4 linked regions of the Sus scrofa genome follow. The protein of the gene in region 4 interacts with the protein of the main gene of each other region in a pairwise test. Links are inferred from orthologs where the notes say so. Each region holds a gene or a part of one and is shown on either strand. Other genes may lie near its edges. The genes, in order: SLC23A1, GEM, CDKN2C and AHCYL1.

Region 1 (7,655 bases), on a different chromosome or scaffold from region 4:
CGCCCCCTTTCCTTCTCGGCGCCAGCTCCTGCCCTGTGAGCGGCCACGGGCACAGTCGTGGACACCAAGCCCCACTCACAACCTTCCTCCATCCTCTACCACACGACCACCCAGTCTTAGCCCCCCGCCCCGGGCCCAGGGCTCTGTGTACGTGGAGGCAGGGGGGTCGCCAAAAGGATGGACCACTCAAGAGTCCCACGCAGGCCCTAGAAGCAGGGGAGCGGGGGCTCCCCATTACCCGGAGTGACGCTTAACGGGGGAGAGTCCTGAGGGGCTCCCCGGGGGTCGGGGATCGAGGGTGGGACACTAGCTGCCCAGCTCTAAGGCTGGCCTGGGAGCAGGAGCGGCAGGTGGGGGCCGAGAGGAGGGGCTTCTCTTCTCCCCCAAGCTGCTCTGGGACTGCGCCTACCCTGGGGATTCCTGGGTGTCTGTCTGTCTGTGGGCAGGTGGGGTGGGGCGGCTCACCGGATGCCCAGTGTGGTCTGGATGAGGGTGGTGATGCCCACACAGGTGAAGATGGTGCCAATGAGCTGGCTGACCATGTACTGGTCACGGCCCACACACAGCGCCTCCGCCAGGAGGAAGGGCACAGCGATGGTGCCGCTGAAGCAGGTCAGGTAATGCTGGGGGCGGGGGGGGGGAGGGCATGAGGCAGGGCCCGGGCTGCCCAGGGAAGCAGGGGCACCCCCCCGCAAGCCCCCACGCCTGCCTCAGTGGCCCAAGCCCATGCCCACCCAGGACTGGTGCTCCCATCAGGGGTCCCACAGAGGGACTGCTCACCTCTCTGGGGTGACTAATCTGCCCCTAAGTTATTCCTGCAGCTTCTGTGGAGTGGCCCTCTTCCCTGTGGCCGGCACGCCGCCTGGCAGGCGATGCATCGTCCCGGGGGTGCAAACCTGTTGCAGGCTCACTTGAGCCTCTTCCCCACCCCTGCTTGGTGACAGTCACGGCCGCTGACCTTAGGTTCCTCTTCCTGTTACCCAAGGTGCCCTCGTTGCCCAGGGAGGGGACTGCAATCCTGATGAGTGTGCAGGGCAGGGATGGGAAGGCCCCGGGGAGACACCCACCTGGAAGCCGAGCAGGATGCACAGGTACCAGGGTGGCACGTCCTCGAGCTTGTACAACATGTCAGACTTGGGCTCTGTGGGCAGGGCCCCTGGGGGCTCCCTCGTGGAGGTCCCTGCTGAGCCCAGGGACTTGTGCTGGGGGCGGCAGAGAGAAGAAACTCAGCGTGGGGTGATGGGAACCAGCAAAGTCCGTCCTTCTTCAGAACCAAGCAGGCCCGTCAGCCTGGCCGAATGCGGTCGCCCACCTCCACCCAGGTCCATCCACCCAGCTGCCCCTCGGCCTGGCTACACAGCCCCCACATCGGGCTGCTTTGTGCAGCGATGGGCCCCACTGTGCTGGCTCCCGGAGCCCCCAGGTCCTGGGCCTTCACGCCGAGGAAATGGGTCCGTGAGTCAGAAGGCGGGACACCAGGCGAGGAGGCCAGCGGGGCTGGAGGCCTGGGCCCACTCTGGCCCCACCTCTGCCCCTTGGAGGACCTTGGGACATCACGAGCAGGTGGTAGGCTGGGCCCCTGCTGGCTGGCCCTCAAGCTGGAGTCAGCCGGTCCCAAAGCCACAGGCTCCTTCACCCCTACTGCTGCCCCTTCCCCGTCCCCCAGTGGCCACAGTCCGCCTGGGACCGTCACCCTTGAGCCTGGTGAGCAGAACCTTGCCCTCTGCGTGCCCAGGGCTCAGCCCCCCGCCCCGGCCCCATGCCCAGCACCTGGGTCGGGCCCTCGGCGTCCTCCCAGGCCCTCATCTCTGGGGCACAGGTGTGTGAGCGGTTCCTGCGGAGAAGAGGGGATGGCTTTACCAGGTCCAAGGAGGACTTTACTCCACGTATCAGGCATTGTTCGAAGTCAATCTGTAACCAGCTCCCGAAGCTTCGATTGCGAAAGAGGACCCAGGCCAATGTAACGTATTAACCCTGGCCGTAGCGGAAAAGGCCGCCCAGGCCTCGGCTCAGGCTTCCCTCCCGAGCACCCCCTTCCTTGCCCACACCCGAGCCTGGGCACGGGAACGGCTGTGTTCCAAGAGAGGGCCGGAGCGGCCGGCCTCGGAAGTTTATCAAGCCCTGGGTGGGGCGAGAGGAGAATGGGCACCTGTCAGCCCCCGGAGGAGGCTCTCCCCATTCATTAATGAGAAGTTAATCATTATCATCATCATAACCCATCTCCTTATGAAGCAGCAATTACGAGCCAAGCAACATCTGCGCACTGTCATGGGTTTTTAACCCCAAGCGCTGTGGGCAATTAACCTGCTCGAGAGCCGAGGAGAGCGATTTAAGCGATTTAAGCGATGCGGGGAACCAAGGCCACGCAGGTGGCAAGGCTTGAGAAAACCATTCTGAAAACGTCCCCGTGGTTAAGGGTTTGGCGTGGTCCCTGGTGTGGCTCTGGTCTGATCCCTGACCTGGAAACTGCTGCGGGCTGCGGGCACGGCCAAAAAAAAAGAAAATTCAGGTTGGCCCGAACGCCTGAGGCCACGCTGTTCATCACACCTTAAAGGCCCTAAGGGGTTGCCCTCTGCCCGCCCCCGCCCCCGCCCACTGCTCGCCCCGTCAGGGTCCCCGAGACACCTGACAGATGGGCCTCCGGAGAAGGAGCTGCCGAGGCTGGCCCCGTCTTGCCTGTCCCCTGTGTGGGGACAGGAATCCCCCCTGCGACCAGGACCAGCTGTGTAATCCGTGGCACCCGGTGCAAAATGAAAACGTGGGGCCCCTGACCCAGAAGTACTAGCCATTTTAAAAGAGAAACAGCAGAGCCTTAAGCAGAGTTGTGGGCCCTCGTGAGCCCCTGTGTGACCGCCACGGACGCCCTAAAGCCAGCCCCCGGCCGGCCTGTCCCCCACTCCCGGGGACTGAGGCTCCTCAGCTGGCGGGAGCTGGGCCTCAAGTCCTGGCTCTGCTCCTGCCGGGCGGCCCCAGCCCCACACCCCTTAAAGGCGTCCACCTACTTCTGGGTCGCTGTGCCCACGGCCAGGCCCTGCCCCGAGAGCTCACAGGTACCACCGCTGTCCAGCCAGGGAGCAGCCTCATGTCACCGCCCTGAGTCGGCCTGGCCGCGCTCTCGGGTCCGTCCCTCTGACCGCCGCCGTCCTCTCCTCCACCTTCTGGGCTCCTGCTTCCAGCTTCCCCAAGTCGTCTGACCAGTTCGAAGCCGCTGCTCCTCAGCACATTCCTCCTCCCTCCCGGCCCCTCCCCAGCACTTCCCCGGGGACTGGGGGGACAGCCCCACCCCTCGCACACCGTGTCCATGCAGAGACACGGACCCCGCGCAGAGCCAAGGCCAGGAAGTGCCACGTGGCCCAGAAACACAGGCACCCAAAGGACCCACAGCGCCCAGACTCTGAGGCCGGGGCCAAGCCACTCCACGCGAACACGGGGCCACACCGCGGGCTCCCAGCCGCGTCCCTGCTCCTGTGCTCGGCTTGTGAGTTCTCCCCTGGCGTGAGGGCTGCGAGCAGGAGGAGCCTCTGGCAGATGGGGAGCAGCTGAGGGATGTAGAGGCTGGGCTGGTGGTCAGGGCCCCCCGGGCAGAGCCTCTGGCCTCCAGCCCTGACCCACCCCACCCCCCAAACTAGACCCCCCTCCCAGCCCGGCCACGTGAGTCTGCCTGGGACTCCGGCCGGAGCCTCTTTGTTGTCTGAGCCTTGGTTTCTGCATTTGTCAACTGGGGATTGAGTGTCTGCTCTACCTCTCAGGGCTTCAGCCCATCAGAGCCTCATAGAGGAAACTATGGGCGGTAGTGCCACCTGAACTCAGGCACCCAGACCCAGGAAGGCCCCGGGCGCAGAGCCCGTCTCTGTTGCTACGGAAAGGGCCTCAGGTGTGAAGGATGTTGGGGGGAGAGCAGGGCACAGAGCCCAGAGCTGAAGCCAGCCTGTTCCAGGGAACCTGCAGGCACCTAGGGCCCAACCATGCCAGCTGGGGTTGGAGCAGAATCTAGAAAGTGAGTGGCCCATGGGTGTAGGCCCAGGGAGACCAGGGTTCCGGGCGGGGCACCGGGCACACGGCAGCGGTGGCAGTAGGCGTCCACCGGCGGCCCGCTTGCAGAGTTGGCTTTGCCTCTCTTTTCTCCCATGATGGAGCTGGAGTTTCAACCATTCAGATAACTGGTTCCCTATGCCTTTGACAGGTCCCTCTGATTCCCAACCGTAGCAGATCTCACTTACCTCCGGGAAGCCCTGCGGACGTGTCCCTGGCCCTTTCGGAGGGACGTCAGCAGAAACGGCAATGCTATCTTCCCAGCCCCCCCAAGCACCTTTTGCAGACAGGAGGGTCCGAGGTCACCAGGTTTTATTTGAGTCCAGGGGGCAGACCTTGGCCCCCACCCGGGCCCCAGGGCCCCCAAGCGGGCGTGGGGACAGAGAGTGTCAGCACAGACGACAGCCTTCCAGGCAGCTTGCAGAACGTAGGGGGGCAGGTCCGGAGGAAGCCCGGCGCTCCTCGGGGCCGACCAGGAAGGACAGGAGGAGCGGGTCTAGAGCTCTGCCCGTGGGCGGGGGGTCTCCTCGGAGCAGGCCCCTCGGGGGCCCCCACACAGCAACGCCTCCAGAGCCTCCGCACCTTGTCGGTGGGCTTCATAGATCTGGTCTTCTCCAAACTCCCCCACGTAGTGCCAGCAGGTCGTGGCGAGCCTAGGGCCGCCCGGCAGGAGCATCAGACGCTGCCCAGCCCACAGCGGGGCTGATCCAGGCCGCCCGGGCTCCACCCACCCCAGCCCTCCGGCCATCACCTGCCGGGCCACAGGCCCCCCGTGATCATCACGCTGATGCTCGGCTCCCGCCCCTTGCTAAGTCCTGGGCCTACGAGTCGTTTCACCTGGTCCACTTCTCGAACGCCGTAGCTGGAGGCAGGGGGAGGGGAGGAGAGGGGAGGAGAGGGGAGGAGAGGGGAGGGGAGGGGAGGAAGACAGCACAGAGTGGAGCCCGGCCAACAAGGGACCGTCCCCACAGGAAGCTGCACACACCGGGGCGTCTACCGAGTTTCGTGCCCAGATTCTGATCCTCCTTGATGGAAGACGGAGGACCAGAAAGCAGAAGTCCCTAGCCCAAAGTCCCAGAGCAACCATGTCCCCTGGCCGCTACCCTTCTACAGAGCTCAGACTCTGTCCTGGCCAGTCCCCCGCCTCGGGCTGGAGCCCTAGTAGAGTGTGGGCGGTGTGTGGGTAAGAGGGTGAACCACCCCCGCCCCCCCGCCCCATCAGCCTGGCCCCTGGAGGAGGAAGGGAGGGAGGGAGGGGCCGGGTTTTCAACTCACTCCTGCCAGGTCTGGGAACAGCTCTGATCCAGAACATCTGTGTATACGGACTCACTCAGCCTGTGATGGCCCTCGGAGTCCAGGGTGTGAAGCTTGGCCTCTGCCTTTGTCAGATGTTGCTGCATCTGGAACAGAGGCGTTGAGAACCAGGGCTTGAGAAGGTCTCGGGGACCGGGGATGGAGAAGGGAGGGAGGGCAGGAAGCTGGGTCTTTGAAGAAGAAGGAGGCAGTGCAGCCTTTTGGACAGGAAGCACCTGTGAGCAGACGAGCTCCACTGCCCAGGGAGGGGCGGAGGAGGTGGGAGGTCAGGCCTGCGCACTGGGCTCCCCCCCAGGGTACACCTGCCCATCAGCGTATGCTATTTTAAAGCACAAGAACAAGGAAAAAAACCGCCCAGTCTTCAGTGACACGTGTACTTATCGCCCCTGCGCGTGCACACACACACACACACACACACACACGAGTACTCAGACCAGCTCGGCAGGTTTGTATGTGAACTCAAGACACACACACGCTCGTGTATCCATGAACTCAAACGTGATACGTGTGCACATACGCCAGTGCTCCCTGGTCATGCTCTGGGAAGGAGTCCAGACCTAGGGATGAGCCTGGAAAGGGAAGCGTCTGAGAGGATAAGCTAGGGACTCCCTGGAGTCTCAGGATACCGTGGGGCACCCTAGATGGTCTGCTCTTTGTTGGGCAGACAGGTAAACTGAGGCATGGAGGTTCCAGGGGGTGAAGATGGCAATACCATGGCAGGCTGAGTCTAGCTTGATGCCCAGCGGGTGGGGGGTGGGGGGATCAAAGGCCAGTGCTGGAATCCGAGGAAGAAGAAGGGGTCTGGCTTGAGGAGGGGCCCCGGTGGGGGCAGGAGAACTCACCTGGTAGACCACGGCCCTGCAGGCATCACAGCGCAGGTGAGCCGGCATGTGAGCTGAGTACTTCTCCTCGTCATCCAGCTGGGGGGCAGTGGCTGAGAGTGGGGCCCTGTCCCCAAGGCCCCCTGGGATGGCACAGGCCCCCAGCAGCAGTAGCAGCAGCGGTGACAGCCTCATGGTCCGTGGAGCCGGCTCAGTGAGCATGTGCTGGGGTTGGGGTGCAGGTGCGTGTGCGCAGTGGGGGCCGCCCCAGACCAATGAGGAACTGACATCTCACCCTCCCTTTCTCTCCCCACCCCCACCCAGGCCCTGGAGACGCCACGTAGGCACCTCTTCTAACGGGACCCTGGCGCCAGCAAATTCGGCTCCATTGCAATGAGAGGAAACAATGAGGCCAGGAGAGGGGCTGCGCCTGGGCAAGGACACCTGGGGGCGGACACCTCTCTCATCCTGGGACCTGGCCACCTGGCAGGCACTGTGCTAAGTTCCGTGGGGGCAGGATGATTGCTTATTGTCATCTTTAATCTACCCCCGCCCCCCAGGATACAAAGGTTCAGAGAAAAGTGACAACTCCAAGGCCACACAGCGAGAGGGGCTATGCTGAGATTGGAACCCATGCCTGGTTGACCCCAAGGAGTCCCGGCCTCTCAGCCACCAGGAGAAATGAGGCCACAGGCATGGTTGGCAGCTTCGGGCTCCCTCCCCGAGAGGCAGTTCGCTGAGGCAGGGACGCCACGGTGTATGAAAGACACGCACGGTCCCCTGCCCCAGGCCACAGCCAGGCCTGGAAGGTAACTGTGGGGAGCGGGGGGTTGAGGGACCGCAGCAGGAAATCAGACTCTTGACACCAGTCTTTCCAGCCATCATGGCCACCAGGTCAGCGATTTATTGCACACCACGACGAGGGGGAGGCGGCCCAGGGCCCTCCTTGCCGTCAGAACCAGCATCACTAGCCACAGGAAGATGGCCAGGTTCTCTCAGCTTCCAGTCCAAGGCAGGGGGGCAGTACCGCCAAGGGACTGGGCGTCCCTAGTGGCCTGGAACCTAAGGAAGGCATTGATCCCATCCCTGACCCTGCTCCTAATGGTAACTGTTCTTTCTCGAACTCATCACATCACATTCCAGCCCAGCAAGGCCCCGCCACGTCGCTCTCACCTCCACGCAGACCCCACACAGAGCCCCTTCCTGCCCATGCGTCGCCCTCCCCGCTCCTCTGCGGTTCCTGGAATCTCAAGGCAACTGGAACAGGGGGTCTGGGTCCTGTCTCTTCCTCTGCTGTGACCGGCTTCAGAGCCAGCCCCTCTCTAGGCCTGGGTGCCACATCTGCCACTGGGGGGGCTGGAACCAGCTGAGGGGGCTGCCCCCCCTCCACCCTGCCCAGGGAGGTCGAGCGTCTCCTCTGCACAACAGCTCAGCAGCCCTCCCTGCTGCCACGTCTTTCCTGCTGACTTACTCATCTGCCCCCCATCC
Region 2 (7,023 bases), about 68 Mb from region 4:
ATCTGGGAGAACAAAGAAAAGGGTAAATAAAGAATATGTGGGCATTTCCTTCATGGCTCAGTGGTTAACGAATCCCACGAGGAACCATGAGGTTGTGGGTTTGATGCCTGGCCTCGTTCAGTGAGTTAAGGATCCGGCATTGCTGCGACCTGTGGTGTAGGTTGCAGATGTGGCTTGGATCCTACATGGCTGTGGCTGTGGCTGTGGCTGTGGCACAGACCGGCAGGTACACCTCCAATTTGACCCCTAGTCTGAGAATCTCCACATGCCACAAGTGTGGCCCTAAAAAGCAAAGAAAAAAAAAAGAATATATGTCTGTGTGTGAGGTGTGTAAGGGATATATGTGGTATGTGTGGAGTGGGATATGTGTGTGCTGTGTTCGTATGTGCTGTGTGTGTTTTTAGTGTGGTATATGCGGGATGTGTGTGCATGGTGTGCAGTGTGCGTGGGGGGGACGTGGTGTGGTGTATGTGGTGTATGAGGAGGGAGGGGTGATGGTCCATGAGCTGAGTGTATAGGAAACGGGCTGGGATTCTAGAAGATACAAATGAATCCTATCTGGACACCAGTTCTAGCCCAGACACTGCACATCTGAACGAACTGGGACAAGTCACTTAACCCCCCACCCCCAGCCCTTTTTGCCTATAAAATGGACTGTCAGTCTCATGGGGCCACTGGGAGTATCTATTCAAGAAGAAAGAATATAAAAAGCTTTAACATATGCAGGGAACGTCACTGATGAGAGTAAAGAGATGAAAAAGAAAAGCAGTAATGGTCTCTGATTTTAAGGATTTTCCATTCCAGTTGGGGGAGACAGACACAGAAAACTTATTTATGGAAAGTGGAAGATGTGTGACAATGAAAAGTGCCATCTCCTGAGCTCTTTACAGTATGACAGACTGAAAGATGTTCATCTCACAATCTTACAAGGTGGGTATTATTAGCAATCTCACTTACAGATAAAAAAAAAAAAAATAGTCATGGTTTAGAAGCTTTACCCTTTAACGTCTCCAAAGTCACACTGATGTTAAATGGCTCAGCCAAGATTCAGCCTGGGCCTGGGCTACCTGAATCTTTATACTCTGATCACTTCCCTGTACTGTTTCCTTGAGCAATTCAAAGATGCAAAGTGCAGAGACAGGAACCTTTGCTCTCAACTTGGAAAAGGCAGGAGAAAGGGCCAATAACACTGAGCAGAGACATCCTGTAAAACTGTGACGCTCCGGACACCATGCAAGGTCCCATGACTGTCACCGTTAGCAGCGAGAGTGAAAGAGGGTGCGTGTGGGGGTCAGAGAGGTGAATGAGGAGCACCACGAAGTCTCACTCCAGCAGAAAGATGACATGTGACCATTGGATGGCAGCCACGTGATTAATGTCCAGCTGAATTATGTCAGGGACAGAATGCAGTTAAGGCCTTGCCTGGCTAGATCTCAGGCTGAAAATCACCTGTTTCCTTTCCCCCCACCCCTAATCCTTTATAATTTCCTCTAGTACTTAGGACCAAGAGCCTCTGGGGAGCAAAGCAAGGCCCATCTGCTGAGCCAGGTATTTGCAAGACCAAAATGAAAGTCAAACTCACTTTTACTGTAACATAGCATTTACAGGATCCCAAATACTTCCAAATTATATCAGCCAAAAATCACTTTGCATTATTGCGAATTGCATTCCAAAAGAGAGATGTCAGGGATACTCTTTAAAACAGACAATCACTGGCATTCCCATCATGGCGCAGTGGAAATGAATCTGACCAGGAACCATGAGGTTGCGGGTTCAATCCCTGGCCTCACTCAGTGGGTTAAGGATCCGGCATTGCCATGAGCTGTGATGAAGTTGGCAGACACAGCTCAGATCTGGCGTTGCTACAGCTGTGGTTTAGGCTGGCAGCTACAGCTCTGATTTGACCCCTAGCCTGGGAACCTCCACATGCTGCGGGTGCAGCCATAAAGAGCGAAAAAAAAAAAAAAAAACCCACCAGATAATAACTGGGCTTCCACCAGTGAAGTGAAGAAATACAATAAGTGTGTTTCTTTATAATGTGCTTTCTCTAGAAGCTATAGCAAAATATTCATAATCACCTTGTAGGGAAGGAAAAAACATTTAGAAATGCCTTTTTTTCAAATATTTTATTTCTTTTATTAGAAGACATATAGATAAAAACTTGCATATTCTGAAAAAGATAGAAAATGGTAATAAAATGAGCATTTTTCTCATTAAGAAATATGTTCATAAATATGCTTTATCAAATGTTAAAATGGTTGTTATTTTGCAAAATAATAATAAATAGAGCAAAGCTGTGGTATACAAGGGTCAACCCAAAGTATTGGAAGTATTATGTCTCATGTTTTATAAAAATTCAGACCTTCGATTATATTCAAAAACTTTGCATTGTGCGCTCCAGGTTCTCAATAATTCAGATTTTAAAAATATTTTTATGATGCCCTTATGATTTGAAAAATAATGAAACACAAAAGGTGGTTTGATGCAATAGAATTTGGCTAAAATAATTTTCCCCTAAATAAAAAATTATAAGACACAGTCGTAAAGAGAGAATTTTTGAACCCATTAGTGGTACAGGTATCAGTTCCCAATTCTACAAATTTCTGGATCCCCCACTGTGGGCATTGAACAAAAAACTGTTTGCTAAGCTTTAGTTTCCAGCAAGTCCATCATTTCTTTTCACAGCTTCATGGAGCATCATAGTCATGATTGTGATGAGCCCCGTCGGGCAATCCTAGCTCCACGAATACAAGGTACAGAGAAAGAAGTTCTCCCTCCTTTGAAAAATTCCTTTGACAGCCTTCCTATATCTATGACCCACTGATTGGCCTCAGAGTCACATATCAGAACACCGGGCAACATCTTAATAAGAAAAAGTTCTTGCCTAGGCACTCATCCTCTACAAACCAAAGGAGAGAGGAAACACATGTGAACACCAACCACGCTCTCTCGAGTCTCGGGTGTCCATGTAGCAAAGGTCAGGCTTTTCATGTAAATAAATACTGACTCTTTACAAAGATCTTTCATTTCCCATGCATTAATGTTGCCCACCAGCGAACATGTTAGTTCCCAGCTACAACAGGGGAAGCCACATCTTACACTACTTAAGAATCCAATCTAATATAGATTATGGGTCCCAATGGCCTTCAGTGACGTCCATCGGGGGACATCTGGGTGACTCTGGGTACCTAGAGCACAGAGAGGTCATGGCAGGATTTGGACTTGAGCTTGAAGGCCATGTTCTTGTTGTTTTTGGCCACGATCTTGCCCCAGAAGCGTCTGGCTTTCCTGGGGATGCTCTCCCTCCTCTTCTGATAGGCCAGTCGCCGCTCGTTTTTCTCCTTGCTGTCCCGCCGGAGTCGGACCTGCCGCACGATGCCCTCAAACAGCTCCTTGACGTTGTGCTGGACAGCCGCTGAGGTCTCAATGAACTTGCAGTCGAACACCACAGCACACGCTCTGCCTTCTGGTTGGGGGTGGGGTGGGGAGGAGAAAGTCAGAGGGGCTGCAGAATAGCATCCCCCCCCACACACACACAGCCAAGCTGGATGAATCCTCTTTTTAAATGGTCCTCAAGGTAATGCTAAGTCCATCACACATGCAATGGATACGGAGGCCCCTGGGACCCGTGTCCTCCTGGAGCTTAAACAGCAGAATCTCACAGGAAGATTGCCAGAAGCAGGAGAGATGGGCTTTAGATCTGGCCTGCCAAACCCTGTGTGAAGGTCCAATTACATCAAATATTGTCAAATTCCATCCAATACTAAAAGCCATAGCCTTAATTTATTGCGCTTACTATGTGCCAGGAACTGGGTTAAATACTTCATAAACATTTTTTTGTAGCGTTACTGAAATGTAGTTGATTTACAATGTGTTGATTTCTGCCGTAGAGCAAAGTGATTCATACCTATATATACATATGGAAACGAATATGAAAAAGAATATATACATTATGGTTTATCAGAGGATATTGAATATAGTTCCCTGTGCTATACAGAAGGATCTTGTATAAACATTTTTTAGACATTCCCAACTATCTTTAAAAACACATTATCCCTTTCCAGTAGATGATGGGGGGGGGGGGTCCTTTAAAAACTTGAGGGAGTTCATATAACCTGTAAGTGGAGGATCTGAGTCCAGACCCGCTTCACTCTCAAGTTAAGAGAACTTTCTCTTGACTCAGTTTTCTGAATTGAAAATAAGGATGTGTGTACACATATAACTGAGTCACTTTGCTGTACAGCAGAAATGATCACAGTATTGTAAATCAACTCTACTTCAATAGAAGTTTAAAAAATGAATAAAGAAACAAAAAGAATCCTACTTAAAAAAAAAACTATTTAAGCTTTCATGAGTTATTTTGAAAAATTTTGAGGATCTTCACACATGTACAGTGTAATTATGGCGAATGATACAAAAAAAAGCTTTTCTGAAACAGTCTCAATTTCAAATGCTCCATTGTGTTCAATGACCAGGTGTCCAAGTTTGGTTTTGGAAAAAATGACTCCTGCAGACAGTCATTTCCTAAGAGTAAGACATTCCCAAGCTGGCTGGGTCTGTTTAGTCTTTAACAGCATTCTTTTCTCCTGGGCGGAGCCTGGCAATGCAGTATTTTGTTTTTTCACCCTTGTACCAAATTTGAATTAGGCCAATAAAATTTTAAGAGCCCCTAGGGAGTTCCTGTCATGGCTCAGTGGTTAACGAATCTGACTAGGAACCACGACGAGGTTGCGGGTTTGATCCCTGGCTCCGCTCAGTGGGTTAAGGATACAGCGTTGCCGTGAGCTGTGGTGTAGGTTCCAGACTCTACTCAATCTCACGTTGCTGTGGCTCTGGTGTAGGCCGGCGGCTACAGCTCTGATTCGACTCCTAGCCTGGGAACCTCCATGTGCAGTGAGTGTGGCCCCAGAAAAGACGAAAAGACAAAAAAAAAAATTAAGATTTTAAGGGCCCCAAAGGCACTGGGTGCCAACTCAACAAATAGGAATCATGCCTGAACTAAATACGACAAAGTATATGTGATGCCATTGGACTGGCACCTTAACTGGAAAGTTAAGGTTAAGGTTATTCAGGAAGCAAAGGGTAGGGGCTGGAAGGGTGTTTCTAGGGTCTACAGGAATCAGAGGCAGCCAGAGTAGAATTCTTAATCTCAATAGTTTCTTGAAATCAAAGTTCCCATCCTTCTTGCATGAAGGTGCTACTTTCACTTCCTGGGACTCTTGAGAGATGTCCCTGGAGAATAGAGAGGATGAGAAAAAAGGGCTGGGAACTGCCAGTAAACCCGAGTATGACCTCTTCTCTAAAAGAATTCCAGGGAAAGCTTGGGGATGGAGAGACTGAAATCCTGCAGGTAGACCAGATGATCTATTGGGAATGTGGGTGTCTTCGAGTGTGCGTAAAACTCCACGTGGCATCTTAAGAGTCCCTGGTTCCAGCTTTGTGTAAGAGGAAGGGAAGAGCAACTGTTTAAAGGAAAATACCCAAGACCCAGAGATAGTGTCTGTGGTAACTGGCACCACTCCTCTCACCTGATACAGACACTTCCCGGCACCGTACCAGGTCACTTTTGTTGCCAACCAAGATTATAGGAATGTCCTCTGTCTGCCGGGCCCTGCGGAGCTGGATTCGCAGCTCAGACGCCTTCTCGAAGCTGGCGCGGTCCGTGATGGAGTAGACAATCAGGTAGGCATCCCCGACTTGCATGCAGTGGTCTTGGAGCCACTCGTTCTCCCCCTAATGAAATGAGAAGAACTCCCATTGAGTTCAGATGAGCTGGTAAATGAGGTGTCCGTTTGAAAGAAACCATGCGTGTATCCTAAAGTATCCTTGCTGATATGAGAAAGAAAGAAAATTCATTCCGACTCCCCAAAAGGCATTGGTCTTCCATGCCTACAAGATGTCTGTGGCTACAAAGACTGCTGGCTCATGGGGTACGGATGCCAAGAAGTTTTACTTTCTGACTCCTTTCACAGCTTGAGTTGATAAATTATACAATGACTCTGCCAAACAGTATTTCCAACTTTATTTAAACTACCCCAAATGAGCCTTTCCTGGCTTTCAAAAAACTCTTTCGCCTCTTCCAACCGATGAAATCAAGAATTCCTTCATCAGCATCAGAAGGTTCTCGATAAACAGAAAATCTAACGTATATGCTCAAAAGCCCCAGATCTCTACAAAGCACATGCTGAAAACTAGGATGGAGAGTATCAAGGTCGTATAATACGGTTTTACACAGTTTAAAATGATCATCCATACTTATTGGCACTTTCCCTACAACAAATTGACTTTTTGGTATTTCTGAATAGAAGGGCAAATCACTGCAACTTGCTTGGTATTCAAAGCTCATTTATGAACAACTTGTTCCTTAGAACAGTTTCATTCTTTAGAAGTCAATGCTTTTAATCAAGAAAATGAGTTCAACTCATCTGGAACTGCCCACAAAGGACAATGTCACCCTTGCACCAAACCGCCTGGTGGAAGGCAAGCCTTGAAGGAACTTACAGGTTCTGCATACCTTATTTTCCCACATGTCCAGGAGTATAATTGTTGCACTTTCCCCATCAACAATCAGTGTTCGTTCATATGTATCTTCTGGAAAAGAAAGAACAGTAATATTAAGGTCAGCTAAACACTTTTATATAAGACGGCCATGTAGAAATTGATGCTATAAACTTTCTAAATATGCAATTAATTATGTACATATACAAAGTAAAATATGTAAAAGTTCACAAAGGCAATTTTTTTTTAATGGCCGAACTCTTGGCATATGGAAGTTCCCAGGCCAGGGACTGAATCCAATGCCAGATCCTTTAACCCACCTGTGCTAGGCCAGGAATCAAACCTGTGCCTCTGCAGTGACCCAAGCCACTGCAGTCAGATTCTTAATCCACTGGCCCACAGTGGGACCTCTAAGACAAATTATTTTTGAGTCACCTTCAACAACATTCTACATATATTCCTCCAATATCTACTAAGCAGAAGAACTTCATCTTTGGAACATGTATCATTAAACACCTGAAATGA
Region 3 (7,416 bases), on a different chromosome or scaffold from region 4:
TCTCCATGAAGAGTTGTGTAATATCATAAATTTATTAAAATAAAAGAAATGGAATTTGAGATTTAAATGTCTCCTTCTGTTTGCTAGTTCATACTCCTAAAATGTGCCTGAGGTATTAATTCTGTACAACAAAAAGCGGGTAAAATTTATTTTTTCAATAGGTGAAAGGAAATAAGGAGGTGAGTTTCTTTAAACCCTCAAAGAAATGTTTCCGCACATCAGACTCCATCTAGTCTGTTTTACTAGTGTAAAAGTGATCTCTTAAAAATTCAGACTTGGTATTTTCTTAAATTATTAAACATCACACGTTTTCTCCAAATAAAGATAGCCCCAAGAGTCCAAGTAGTTTTTTTTAAAATAGCTTTTTTCTTTGCAGTTATTTCCTATGGGTTACTAGGTGTATTTAGTGCATAGAATCCTCCACTTGAAATTTTAAAATGCTACTGATTATTAAAGTGTTAAAAAAGTAACAGTGTTCTACATTGCCAACTATACTGATTTATCTAAAACTAAGCTCATGATATGGTTTGTATTAGATAGGAAATGACTGTATGGCAACTGTTCTTGAAAAGAATGGAACAGTCATCCTATTATATTTGTTTCCTAAAGTTCTATCTAGCCTCCTAATTTTCAAGTGAGCAAACGAAGAGAAAATAAGGTATTTAATGTGGATTTTAGGACAGACAGCTTTGTTTTGTAGTTTCAGACCATTTATTAATCAACTGGTGATCCTATCTTATTTCTTTTTGCGATTATCATCAGGGATTTAGGAATAGCTATTTGTAAACTGGCAATATTTTTAAAGTCAGAATGTAGTATTAAAATCTGCTATCCACATACAGATAATTCACAAGACAAAGACGTCTACCGGTGTTTAAATATATTTCACTCTATTTAATGGTCTCTATTAGACTCTCATAATTATAAAATATCTTGAGCAGCATGCAGTTACACAATACATGTAATTTAGTTGTGAAAAATACAGTCTTGTTAATGTGTAAGAAAATTTCAGCATTTTAATATTTTAAATTTACATTTAGGTATATTCATAATAACCTAAATTTATGATAGATTGCATAGTAGAAACTCAAATGTTTTTGAAATTAAATATACATTGGAAAACACATACGAAGCTGACTTATCTCTTTAGAATGTTTGTTTTAAAAAATCACAAATTAAGTAATATAATAACATACATTTAAAAGGAATAATAGTCTATAAGTGCAAACTATATAGATGGCCAAGATGTCAAGCTTCCCTGGTGATAAAACCTTGCTGACCATTAGCCCTTCCTTTGGGGCAGTGGTTAAAAATGATACATAACTTATTTTTCAAGAATATCAATGACATATACTTTTTGGTTATTAAAAATTAACACAATTTAATTTTAACCACAACTACCTCTAAATATTAGTCATTTAAGGACCTGGACTGGGAAAAATGAGAGACAGACACTTTGGATCTTTGTAAAGCACATGTACGATCAAGGCCTTTGATATTATCCTGATTAAGAAACTTACACTAGGAAGGGGGGAAGATCCTTTGTAATTGAGTTAAACATAATTGCAGGAGGAAATCTGCCATATTTCACAGAAAAATAATAGTAATAGTAGAAATTGTTTTGAAAGAAAGTTCTTTCTTGAGTTATGACACAACTTCAGAGTTAGGATTATACATACTGAAAATAAGCCTTGAGACTCCTGTTTGTGTGCGTTTCATTTTATGTACTAGGGCTAAACCACAATAAGTGGGTGTTAGTATCTTGATAAGTATGTTTAATATAAACAGGACTGCAGAGTTGTATTAAAAATGTTTGTCAGAACTTTTTTTTTTCAGTATTAATCTCCCAGTCCTCGTGCTCATCAAAAGCCCTGTAAGATCTTATTCGTAGAGGGTTAAGTGGCTCATTCTTTGTAAGATATATATAATACTTTGAATTTTCAATAGGAAACTTTTCAATATATTTGTGGCATTGCTATCATCACCAAATTACTAGGTGGAAAAATGAATCTGCCTGAAATAACAAGATAAATAATTTAGTATCTATGTATAAGCTTCCTTAATACATTTGAAATTTTTTGCAAGGCCAGTGTATTCTGTTAAAATATACAGGCTGTATGGACTTCGTCTGTTAATAATACATCTCCTGCCACTTAAATTTCTAATATTTGCGATTAAAATAAGGCACTCTAAAAACCCACTTCCCATTGGATTTTCAAAACAGCTTTAAGTGTTGCATTTTGAAGAGCTCATAAGAATATCATCAGAACTCAGATCAACAATTTGAGACTACTTTACCATCTTTCTGTTTCTAAGTCTTTCAACTAAGTTACAAGATCAGTTCAGAGAAGGAAAAAAATTACCAGGTACACTATTTGGCAGCTGGATGTGTTTCATTTGTTGCTTGTAAATCTAATTACTAAAAATTAGAACATACCACGGTATGACCACAGAGACAAAAACACTATAAACTGAGCTCTGATTAGAAAATTCAACTTTCTATTCCTCCTCAATCCTGAATGGGTGGACGGTATTACATTAACTGTGAAATGTACATCCTGTGCCCGTGCCCAGGCCACCCATTCCAAACGAGGAAAGGTCGTTTGTCAAAACTTGAAGCTTTTGAAGAAAAACACCCTCGCCAGTAGTCAAGAAAATTAACATTAAAGTCAATTATTGGAGCAAAGTTCGGAAACCACTAATAGCAGTGTATTTACTTCAAATAATAATCATAATAATGTGTTTACAGAGCTGTCTAAAAAAAAAAAAAACCCAAAAATAAAAAACTCCGCGCTGCTACGAATGCTTTACAATCCCCACCATCACAAAAACATTCCAAAAATTAAGACCAAACCTGGAACCCAGTTGATATCGAGGATATTATTGGATTTGACGAGTTCGTTCAAAGTACGTCATTTTGGGTAGTTGGATCCACTTAAAGATATAAAATATGGCAACCAACTAGTTTTAAAAACAGTGAAATTTTGTACCCCTGAAGGCTTAAAAGCTATTATTCTAGAAACCCGGGTCACGTAGGCAACATTGTTGACCTGTTTTCCCCACCTCTCTGGATACCAACCTGCAGCGCAGTCCTTCCAAATCCATTTTGTGCATTGACGTTTACATTATTTTGCAACAAACTAGTAAGTTGCTCTAGGTCCCCCCTGGCAGCTGCGGACGCCAACTCGTTCCCCCAAGGCTCGGCCATTCTTTAGGGTCCTGACGATCGGGAAAAGATGAATTAGTTGTTTTTCTTTTTCCCCTTTCCTTTGCTCCTAACCAGGCTGCATGATGGCATCGGAGACTGACAGAAGGACTGGGATGGTTAATCTGGAGTAGAGCTTGGTAGTAAATACTAGTAAGATCTGCCTGCCAAAAGCCCGCCCCTCGATTCACACGTGATTATTCAGCAAAACTGAGCCATTGGAGAGGGGCTCCGCTCCTCGCTTTTTAGCTTAACCCCTATGAAGAAGTCTAGTGATTAACAGAGAGATATGCAGACACACATATATTCCTGGTAAATTACTCTGGACGTAAAATGTAGGCTGAGCTGTCACGTACGTACACTGCTAATCTCTGTGAGGAATGTGTGCGGAGATTTAAGGGACTAGATCAGGGAAGAAAATACTGCGGAAGAAGAGACATTTGGGGGAAGAAAAGGCATTCACCCACCCTTGTTCACGGTGGTGACCTGAGCCACGCGAGCCAGAACCGCAGGGCAGGTCCTCGGGGGGACTCGGTCTCCATCCGTCTCGCCGAAAGAGTAGTCGTGCGTCCTCCGCTGCAGGGAGAGCGCCGCGGTGGCTGGCTGCTGACGTGCTCTGGGGGTTAAAGATGATCGCCAAAAGCAAACCAGAGTAGCAGTTCCGTGGCCCTCAAGTTACAGATCGCAACAGCTCCTCAGTGGCCTTGGCTTCTCGGGAAGAGCCTTTATTTGCGTCCGGGCCGAGCTGCGGGCTAACGCCGCGCGGGAGGGCTCCGGAGCCCGCCCGCCCGGCTACCGCAGCCCCGCCGAGCCTCAGAGGCCGTGGGAGCCAGGCTCGGCGCGCGTCTCCGGAGACGGCCGGGCGCGCGGCGGGTCCCCGGCAAGCCGGTCATGCCGGCCCCACAGGGTCCCGGGGCTTCCAGAAGCGAGGACGGGGGAGAGCGATGCGGGAAGCGTCTACGGGTCCGGGTCCGCTGAGGCAGCGCGCTGCAGCATCGCGGTCGCACACGGCAGCCCACCGGGAACTTCCCGCCTACGACCAAGCCAGTTCAGACTTCCTACTGCAGAAGTTCATTCAGCCGCCGCCGCCTCTTTTCCTTCCTTTCCCGGTTTTCTGAGGTCCTCTGGAGATCGCGAGGGTCCCCGGAGGTCCCAGGCCAAGCTTTGAGTATGGGGTGCTGCCACAATTCCAAGGCACAGCCAGTCCCGCTGCCCTCTCGGGGAAAGCCCAACGGCTTCGGCGCCCGGTGCCACTTCGCCAACCTCTCGCGGTCCCCTGGCCTGTGCCCCCAGCCTGTGGCGCCGAAAGGGCAGAGGCCGCCAGCCAGCTGTGCCCGGAGCGGAGCCGGGTAGCACTGCTTCCTCCAGAGCCGCAGCGCTCCCAGTGACAGTTTCTTTTGTAGCTGGTCCCCCTCAAATCACCGGTCCCGGCTCCCTTCACCCCTACAGACACTTGTGCGTCGTGCCCCTTTCTGGTCTTTTCCTTCCCTCCCTCCCTTGCTTCTTTTTTCGCTCAAACAATTGCTGCTTCTGTTGCTGCTGCAGAGACGGTGCCGGTTTCTTCTCCCTTTTTCCGACTTCATCAGCTTTTTTTGAAAAGAAAAAAATTGAGCGCTTTTTGAGTTGAAAAACCCGCCCCCATTTTAACGGCAGTTTTAAGGAGGCTCTGCAGAGTTGCTGGCCGCGGGAGCGGGAACGCAGGGCGCCGCCCACGCCCCGCCCTCCGCGCTGGCGGCGCTCGAGCTCTCGGCCGGGCTCGCCCCGCCCCTTGCCCGGCGCCCTTTTTCTAGCCTGTTAGCAGCTTGCATTCCTCCCTCCGTCTCCTGCGCTGGCTCCCACCCGCCAGCTCGGAGGCCCGGCCCCAGCTCGAGCGGCTTTCGGCCCGGTGGAGCAGGGTTTGACCTCTTCCCACTGGCGGGCGGAATGGAGTCTGCGGAACCCCGGGCTGCCCGGGGCCGGGAGCGGGGGTGGGGCGGAGGTGGGGTGAAAGAGGCTTGTTAATTAAGGCTGTGGAGAGCAAAGCTCGGTGGGTCTGGCTGCTGGAAGGCGGAAAGCTGGCCCGAAGCGAGTGTTTCCCCGGGCTTGGCGGGGCAGGCCGGCCCGCCTCCGCGCTCCCGCGCTAGGCTCTCGAAGTTCGGGCAGCCAGGCCTACGGCTGCCGCCGCTTCTGGGGCGCGAGCCGTGTCAACTCGGCCTCCTTTTCTCAGTCCAGAGCTGCGGCCTCGCACCTGCCAGATCAACGACCAGGGCCACGATGGACAGAGGTAGCTGCAGGGGTTGAGGGAGAAACCCAAATGACAGCAAAAACAGTGCTCTGAAAAAGGAGAAGTCTTTTATAGCCTTCTTCCTCTTATTTTATTTATTTATTTATTTTTTGCGAAAACTGAAGGCACTGTATAGGTAAGAAATCATGACGAACTCTGAAGCCTTCATGTTACAGGGACTTGAAATATTCCCTTTCTTTGGGGAAAGGGAGAAAAGCAACTAACTTTAAAGCAAAATAAAAAATAAGTCCTGGGAAGGGTTTTCTAACAAGACTATTTCTTTACTGTCACAGTTCTTTAATTTCTTAGATGAGACTTGTTTTGGGGGATGTAAATGTAAAGGAATCGTATCTTCCCTGGTCAGTCATCAGGACACCAGTTCTCTGTACTTTTTACTTCCTCTTGTAGCTATTTAAGATTAATCAACTACTGCTTTCTATATTTTTTGCTCTTAAAAATATCCAGCACTGCTGCATGGTGCACCTAGTGGTCAAAATGAAACTAAGCAAAAAAAAAAAAAAAAGACAGGTGGTCTAACTATTACTGGCCTATAGCAGGCATAATATCCTCAAGCAACATCTATACCCAGCTCCTTGAAGTACACGGGGACTATTAGCAACAAAAAACACACCAACAATATCTGGATAATCATCTAGCAACAGATTGTAGAGGGAGAGTTGAAACTGGGAAGAATCTGGCAGTGTTCTCTTTAACCGAATTGGTGAGAAAAAAAAAAGTAAATAACCAGAGCTCTTTTTTTAGGTAACTAAGCTTGAAATGTGAATGAAAAATGAACTATAGCAAAAGAAATTAACTCCTCTTATTTTTACATGTATTTAGATATTTCAAATAGAAGATTTAGGATTCCATATATACCAGTAAATACCACAGATAATACAATTTACATAAATGGTTCTGGGAAATTACTATGTAATCTTTCAGTACAGCTGGGGTGTGTGATGATATAGTAGAACTGTTAGCTGATAAGAGATAACCGGTAATTTATGAAAGCTGCTTTCTAGCATTTATTATGGTTTCTGAAAAATATGAATGTTGCTTTCTAGCATTTATTATGGTTTCTTGCTAAAAGAAGAGATTATAGTAAGTCTTTTTTTTTTTTTTTGTCTTTTGTCTTTATAGGGCCACACCCACGGCATATGGAGGTTCCCAGGCTAGGGGGTCCAATCAGAGCTGTTGCTGCTGGCCTATGCCGGAGCCATAGGAACACCAGATCTGAGCCACGTCTGCAACCTACACCACAGCTCTTGGCAACGCTGGATCCTTAACCCACTGAGCGAGGCCAGGGATCGAACCCTCAACCTCATGGTTCCTAGTCGGGTTTGCTTCTGCTGCACCAGGACAGGAACTCCAGGAAGAATCTTAAATTGTACTCATTATGTAAAGTATAGGTATACATGTGTTATAATTGCCATGAAATAAAATACTTTTGCTGAATAACTGAATAAATAAAGCTTATAGTAATTTAAGATGCATACACGAGCTGGATTAAGATTTTCGGAGATCCTAATCACTGAAAAGATTTTGATGTCCCATGGTCTTACCTCATACATAAATCAAAATAACACAAAACTTAAAAAGTAAGTGTAAAGAAGTCCAACAAAGTTCTGATTTTTCCCATGATGACTACTTAGGTGCTTTTACTGCAGTATTAAATTCCTTAAGGAAGTTTCTGTTCATTTGCTTTCACTCTGGCTTTCCTTGTGTCTTAAAACATATGCTTTGTTTGCTTATTGTGTAACACAACTGGCAGCATAGAGGTTGCATTCTTAGTTCAGAAAGCATAAGTAAGCACTACAAAGGACCTCCAATGTAAATCTTATATTAATTGAGTGATAGTTCATAGATTCAAAGGTATCTCTGCCTTAAATAAGCTTCTATTATGACATAGTGTAGAAGAAACATTCATAATTATCTATTTTATTGATGT
Region 4 (6,919 bases):
GGGACAAGGCTCCAGAAGAACTCCAGCTGGAAGTTGGCTGGGCTCAGTATGAGACGGAACCCCTCAAACTTCTAAAGCCAAAGGAAGACCAGGGGACAAAACTGGACTGAGATCAGACCAACATTACGACCCAAACCTAATTTACTCCCTACAAATTTGAATAACTATATGTTGCAACCTACCCATCCAAAATGGATTCTCGGCAGCAGTACAAGTTATCAAACTTCTGTTTGGTAACAGAATCGTTGACGTTCATGGCTGGAACACAGAGCTTCCCAGCTTTGGAGAGCTGATACAGCCTAAAAGGAGAAGAAGCCAAAAAAACAAACAAAAACCAAATTAGCTGGTAAGACAAAGGAGCTGGCAAAGGCTGCCTAATTCTCTTCAAGCTCCATGTTGCCCTCCCCAGTCTTACTTATAGTCCATGAGTATTAGTAAATAAGATGCTTCTGCGTTATCCCTCCTCACTTCCTTTCATTTTCTCCTCCCCACCCCCCTTTTTATGGAAGGGAAAAAAAAAAAAACAAACAACCCTTTCAACTGAAGAAATTTACTTCTCTTCCATAAAGGGGGATACAGTTGATTAGACCAGCATTTTCTCAATTGTTAAAAAATACTCATGTCTATTTCTGATAAACGAATATTATCAATGTTTCTGATATGGTTTCATGTGGCATGTGCCGGGGTGTATGTGTTTTTGTTTGCTTAAGCGTGTGCAAGGTGCCCCAAACGAGAAACACTCTCTCAGCTATCTTTTAGGTATTCCAACAATACTTTACCCAGTTCTATAATGTGTATATAACATATGGTTTTACAATAGATTTTTTTCATATTCAAATATAAAATTAAAATACATAATTGAATACAGTTTTTCAAGATATACTCACTCCCTACCTCCCAACACTGATTGAGACTCACAGTGGAATAAATGGGAGAGAAAAATGGGTGAACGAGAATTTGAAATAATTTCCCTTTAGGGTTTCCTTGATTTTTGCAAAGGTAATAACTCAGAAGTTTTATCTAATGACAACACTCCCATTTAGTTACAAATCTGAAACACAGCCCTACAGCCTAGGAGAGACCAGAGGAATCTGCTGCGGCAAGGACACGAGGGGCAGCTACTCCAGAATCTGTTACCTGTGAACACCAGTCACGCTCTCTTCCACAATGCCTCGGATCTTCTTAAACACGTTTGGATACTTCTTATAAACCCAGTGGGTTAAGTCTCCCCCATCATCCAGGATCTACAGAACAGCCAGAAGACTTCTATGGGCATTCAGGCTGCTAGAGCTGGGGGGAACTTTGAACCCACTTTCTGCACTAGTAAGAGAGCCCTGTTATGTTTTGGAAGAGCAATTCTCAGTGCTCCTTAGAGCAGGTTCGGACAGCGGAAACACAGTCAAATTTGTTGGTGTAAATGGTTAAAAGGGTTCCTAAGTTTGTTCTAGGCTAAAAGTGAAGAGTAGTAGGCTAATCACAGACTCATTTTTTAGTCTAGAGGACTGAAATACAGGCCCTTTGAATGCAAAAGGAGAGCTGGGGCAGGAAGGAAAGAAACCAGAATTTGATTCCAGAGAGGTACCATATCATTTTCTTCAATTGCATTCTGCTGTGTTTGAGCCACATGTGTTCAGTTGGTCTGACCCTTCCCCCGCCTCTCCATTCTGTACTCAGACCCATTCTGAAGAGCTATCAAGGTAAACATTACGGCAACAAAGTGAGTGCATAAGACCAAATATCCAAAACATATTTAGGGAACCATGCTTTGAGGGAAAAAAAAATGAAAGAAATCCATCGTCAAAGTGTAGGATGAATATGCATTATTACCATGTTGGCTTGCCACCCATCCATGTTCACACAGCGGTCAATACACCACCAGAAGTCATCTTCCGACTCGCCCTTCCAAGCAAACACGGCAACTCCTGTGGTACAGATGGAAAGAGATCAGCTGATTCCTCCTTTGAAGAGTGTCCTATACCAATATCACTGTCTGAGATCAGACGAAGAGAAAAAGGCTGTAGAAATTACCCTGGAAAGGAAACAACTGATGAAGGGCAAAAAGTTAAAAGAGCATCTTTAGTTCAGAAATTAGTTAAGAATTTTAGGGATTTTTGTTTTTTAAAGTAGTTTAGAACCTTAAAATGTTATTCTCTTTGGCCAATTTTATGCCTGAAACTCTATCTTAAGGAGATAAAGTGGGAATCACCACAAAGTTGTTCATTACAACATTACTTATATTAGCAAGTACCCTACAGTTTCAACAGTAGGACAACAGTGAAGTGGAATCACACGGCCATAAATGATGTTGTCGAGGTCTGCAGTGACATGGAAACTACTTCTGAAAATGTTCTATTAGGTTATACAACTACATATATTACTGAGATTTGTTTCATCTCTGTAAAAAGTAAATAGAAGAAAGGAAAAATATGTCAAATATTATCTCTGTGTAGCAGGATTATGGGGTTTTTTGGGGATCCTCTTACATTTTCTGCAATAAACATCAGAAAAGAGTAAATAAGAAAAACAAAAGTATTATAGAGTTGCTTTCTGAGGATCATAGGAAAAGGGGAGAACCTTCCTAGTGATTTTCCTTTGAACATTTGAATAATAAAAACTGTTTTATGTTTAATTGAACTCGTAAGTAGTTCATATATTTTTAATGCAGTACTGAATACCAAATTTTATAATGAATGAGGAAACAGAAGATACTTCTTGGGTTCTCTCAAAAGTGATGAGATTTTTGTGAAAAGACACCAACTGAGCGCACACTTACATAACTCACTCAGCTTAAAGTTCTTTCTCATTCATTTAACATTAGAATTGGGCATTTTCCTATGTATCAGATTCTTTTCAAAGATCATTTTAAATGACTATATAATCTTTCACTATGGATATAGACCTTTATTATCCATTTCCTTCCTGCTGACATTTTTATTATCCTCCACATTTTATAGCCCCTAGACATATATGACACTGTGAAGATAATCTTGATATGTAAAAATTATGTTTAGATAATAATTCTGAGGCAAAATTGGTGAAATAAACTGAACTTACCAGCCTCAGCCAGTGCTGCAGCCACTTCATTCTGAGTGGAGTAGATGTTGCAAGCAGACCAGCGGCACTGAGCCCCCAGGGCACAGAGTGTCTCAATCAACACCTATGTAGTGGTATAGGAGGACAGGGTGAGAAAGAGAAGGGCCAGAGAAGAGTCGTAATTGAGAGACTAATACCCAGCAACTCGGCAGCAACACAAGTTGCTACACTGGAAGTTACAAAAGGGTATAACCCACTAGTTAGCACAGTGGAATCTAACTTTACCCAAAAGATGTGACCCCCAAAGTCTTAATAACATTTTTATAACAATCATATTTTTGCAAATCTCCCTAAGGTTTGTTAAAAGGTTACACCTATACAAACAAAGTAGGAAACCTCAGTACTGTGTAATTGAGAGGTTCTCTCTAGTAGTTAGCATTTGGAGGTTAGGTAAATAGGGAAGCAAAAACAAGTTAGAAGAAAGAAAAAAGAAAAAAGAAAAGGTCCCTCTTCCTTGCCAATCAGAAGTCCATCACTTTTCTCCCAAAAAACTCACCGCTGTCTGGGCTGTGATGTGTGTACAGCCCACTATTTTAGCACCAGCCAAGGGCTTCTCCCCCTGAGCACGTTTCCTGAGTGAAATCAGAGCAGACATGTCTGTGAAAGAACAGAGGATTTGAGCTAGGTCTGCACTAGCAATATCATTAATTCCTGCCCCAGCAACATCTAGGGCTGGTCTGGATCTGTTGAGATACGGAGGAAAAACTCTAAGCATATTTATTTGATGCCTGGTAGCTTCAACTGCCGAACAGTGGGGAGTTGTCATCTAAGCACTTGAAATTTCTCTCATCCTCACTATTCTAGCCTTATATGTAGAGGGCTTATATGGAGTCAAATTCTCAGGTGATCACAATGGAGGGTGAGAGTTACTCTTCATTTGGGAGAAGAGGGAAGTAGTTATTGGCTAATGGACTCCCACGTATTACAATCTTCAGAGCAGGAGCAGAGACTTTACTTCAGCAGAAACCACTTGCTTCTGTTTTTCCATGCTCTCTAATCCTATTCTGTCAGTCTGTCTGATTTCTACACATCCTGCCAGTAGAGAAGGTGCCTTCAGTGTGAAAGCGACAAAAGAGTAAAGAGACCTTATTGGGACGGGGGCTGGGTAAAGAAATCAAGATTTAACTGTCAGTCATTTTCACTCTTGCTCCAGCAGAGGGTGCTCAGGATCAAAGACCAAATAAGACCCTAGGTCACCACTTCCTTAGCTGAAAACCCTCCCCAGTTTGCTGCTTCTGGGAAATCTGGGTCTCTACCATTGGCAGCTATGGCAAGATCCTGCAGAACTAACCACCATGTGGCATCTAGGACTTGCTGACTCCGCACGTAGATCTGTGAATATGGAGTCGGGGGAAAGGAAAAGAGAAACTACTCTGTAATTATTACACGCCGAGAACGGGAAGCAGGGAGAACAAGAATAAGAACAGGAACAAGAATCCTGAGGCTCAAGCTCCATACAGGGAGAGCTGTTTATATAAAAGCCCAGGATACTTTCAAACTCAAAAGTTCCCCAGGAGACTTTCAAGCCTTAAGTTTTCATGGATCCTGATGACCAGCAAGTGGGTTGCTTCTGGTCCCTACCCAGTCCCTTTCTTTACCTTGTTCTGCAATCTCAATCTCCCGGCGTCCAAATTCTGCCTGCTTGATGTTCTTCACACAGAAATTGCTGCTGCCCTTGGAGTTGGTTTGCTGCTTTTCTCGGGGGGAAACCTCATCATCAGAGCTATCTGTGTAGGATGCAGCTAGAGCCAGGAAAGAAAGAAATGAGGAAAGAAAAACTTGAATGGCCCCAACTCCACAGGGTGCAGTCCCTAAGGGACTGTCATTTAAGTTAGGTGACACTCAGTTGGAGCCACCTTTTAAGTCACGCTCCATTCTACTCCTCCAGGGTCTTCTAAGAGATGGTATGAATGAAACTATTGTAGATCTTTCAGTGTTGTGGCCCTTTTATCCACCCTGATGACACCTTGCCATGAGTGCCTGTGATAGGGAGCTACTGATTCCAAACCTGCATCAGCTCAAGTGAATCCCTCAAAATAGGGACACTTAGTCTCAACCTGGGTTGGAACCAGACATGGCAAAAATGGAAGAGTAATTTAGGGCATATAAGGAATGCTATTTATATCAATGGTTCTCAAACTTAAAATTCTAAAGCATTCATGAGAATCACATGGAAGGTGTGTCGAACCATAGATGGCTAGGCCCCACTGCCAGAAAGTCCCATTCGGCAGGGCTCAGGTAGGACCCAAGATTGAGCATTTCTAACAAGTTCCTACGTGTTGCCGACGCTGCTGTTGAGAGGACCGTACTTTGAGAACATTAATAGAAAAGGATAAAAGCAATGAAATAATCTCATAAAATCTTATAAAGGGATTTTATACTGGTTGTGCTAAGAAACATAAAGAGAATGACACAAAAAGTGAGCAGTTCTGGTTATACTGCCGACTTTGAGAACACACAAGATATTCAACTTAAAAAAGCAGCTTCACAAAAAGTTAAAAATGTCCTTTCAGATGGATATACAGGAAAATACACAACAATCAGCCCTTACCTCTCAAATAACCTCTTTTCTAGCAGAATATTTTTCTGATTGCCGTCTCTGCCAGTGTGTCAGATCTCTGGCTGACTTCTATGTACACGTCCTCTTTCTTTCCAACTACCACAAATACTCCTGAAGGTTATCGACCCCATGAGGACAATTTAACTTTATTGTCCTTTAACTTTTCAAGCTTTTAAAAATTCTCTGATAGGTCCCCATAAAACATGGTCATGAAAATCTCTGAAGACTTCCTTGGAATATTCTTGTGGTGCAGTGGGTTAAGAATCCAGTATTGTCATGGCAGTGGCTTGGGTCACTGCTGTGGGATGGGTTTGATCCCTGGCCCAGGAACTTCCACATGCCATGGATTCAGCCAAATAGAAAAACAAACAAATAAACAAACAAACAAACAAAACTGAGCAATTCCTTAAAGCTTTCTTCACTCATCCCAACTTTCTCTTATAACTCAATCTTTCAAAATTCTTTCTAATTAGCCTGTTTGTCACCTACCACTTTTTGTATCTGTCTCACTCCAAGACACCTTTTCCCTTATGATAGTGTTATATCTGGAACCTTTTCTTGCACACATGCCCACAGTGAGCCTGCACATTCATTTATTTCAGTACCTAACCCTGTATACCACCATCTGTACTTGTCTGCCTATCTTGTCTATACTGGGTTATCAGTGGCACAGGGCAGAGAATAAGTCTTTGGAAATGTTTATTTACTTTTTAAAAATACAGTCCTTGTACCTCAAAGCCCAGTCCTTAATATTAATAATACAATGCAAACAAGATTCTGGCAGAAGAAAATAAATAGCTTTTGGTACAAATCTCTTTCCTGACACTCACAGCCATCTATGACCTTGGCTAAGCCTTTTAATCTTTTAACAATGTTTCCTCAATTGAACAATGAGGGGGTTGGATTAGATGTCCAGTTTTTTCCAGTCCTCAAACTAGGATTTTATATCCTTTTACATGTTAATTTTCTAATACCCCCTTAAAGTTGAGAAGGGCACAATTCAAAGCAGAAAAAAAGGCTACTTATACAGGGTTAGGGTACGAGAGGAGAACCCTAAGCAAACAGCTGAGCCACACTACTTTGGCTTTTTCCCACTCCAGAGGAGGATATTTCAATGCAAAGTTAACCTAGTAAATAAAAAGAGCCCAAAGCAAAAAAGAAAAATAGGTGACAGGGTCTATCTTAAACAAACAGATCAGAAATTATGATTCCAAAGTACACCCCTTTTCCAAGGCCAGTTCTGTCAGCCAAAATACCACTGACTCT

What was found.
Region 1: the proteins of AHCYL1 (region 4) and SLC23A1 interact in binary tests that used the Homo sapiens proteins (3 or more experiments, as listed by UniProt). The two-hybrid records come from large-scale screens. The link is inferred for Sus scrofa from reciprocal best matches to the Homo sapiens genes AHCYL1 and SLC23A1.
Region 2: the proteins of AHCYL1 (region 4) and GEM interact in binary tests that used the Homo sapiens proteins (3 or more experiments, as listed by UniProt). The two-hybrid records come from large-scale screens. The link is inferred for Sus scrofa from reciprocal best matches to the Homo sapiens genes AHCYL1 and GEM.
Region 3: the proteins of AHCYL1 (region 4) and CDKN2C interact in binary tests that used the Homo sapiens proteins (3 or more experiments, as listed by UniProt). The two-hybrid records come from large-scale screens. The link is inferred for Sus scrofa from reciprocal best matches to the Homo sapiens genes AHCYL1 and CDKN2C.

The regions. Positions count from the first base shown.
Region 1 is NC_010444.4:141,273,214-141,280,868, forward strand, and holds the start of SLC23A1 (solute carrier family 23 member 1), read right to left. Parts: upstream 4,343-7,655; 5' UTR 4,221-4,342; intron 3,875-4,220; exon of another isoform or gene 3,708-3,874; intron 3,417-3,707; exon of another isoform or gene 3,003-3,416; intron 2,985-3,002; exon of another isoform or gene 1,861-2,984; intron 1,835-1,860; 5' UTR 1,807-1,834; coding exon 1,771-1,806; intron 1,203-1,770; coding exon 1,068-1,202; intron 624-1,067; coding exon 466-623; intron 1-465. Other genes in the region: MZB1 (marginal zone B- and B1-cell-specific protein), read right to left, coding at 4,529-4,685, 4,784-4,894, 5,308-5,432, 6,189-6,389.
Region 2 is NC_010446.5:42,467,026-42,474,048, reverse strand, and holds the end of GEM (GTP-binding protein GEM), read right to left. Parts: intron 6,592-7,023; coding exon 6,515-6,591; intron 5,734-6,514; coding exon 5,529-5,733; intron 3,467-5,528; coding exon 3,189-3,466; 3' UTR 2,108-3,188; downstream 1-2,107. UniProt on the Homo sapiens protein: Could be a regulatory protein, possibly participating in receptor-mediated signal transduction at the plasma membrane. Has guanine nucleotide-binding activity but undetectable intrinsic GTPase activity.
Region 3 is NC_010448.4:161,161,763-161,169,178, forward strand, and holds the start of CDKN2C (cyclin-dependent kinase 4 inhibitor C), read right to left. Parts: upstream 4,920-7,416; 5' UTR 3,673-4,919; intron 3,610-3,672; exon of another isoform or gene 3,220-3,609; 5' UTR 3,209-3,219; coding exon 3,080-3,208; intron 1-3,079. UniProt on the Homo sapiens protein: Interacts strongly with CDK6, weakly with CDK4. Inhibits cell growth and proliferation with a correlated dependence on endogenous retinoblastoma protein RB.
Region 4 is NC_010446.5:110,099,885-110,106,803, forward strand, and holds part of AHCYL1 (adenosylhomocysteinase 2), read right to left. Parts: intron 4,836-6,919; coding exon 4,692-4,835; intron 3,691-4,691; coding exon 3,590-3,690; intron 3,158-3,589; coding exon 3,055-3,157; intron 1,923-3,054; coding exon 1,828-1,922; intron 1,245-1,827; coding exon 1,138-1,244; intron 300-1,137; coding exon 183-299; intron 1-182. UniProt on the Homo sapiens protein: Multifaceted cellular regulator which coordinates several essential cellular functions including regulation of epithelial HCO3(-) and fluid secretion, mRNA processing and DNA replication.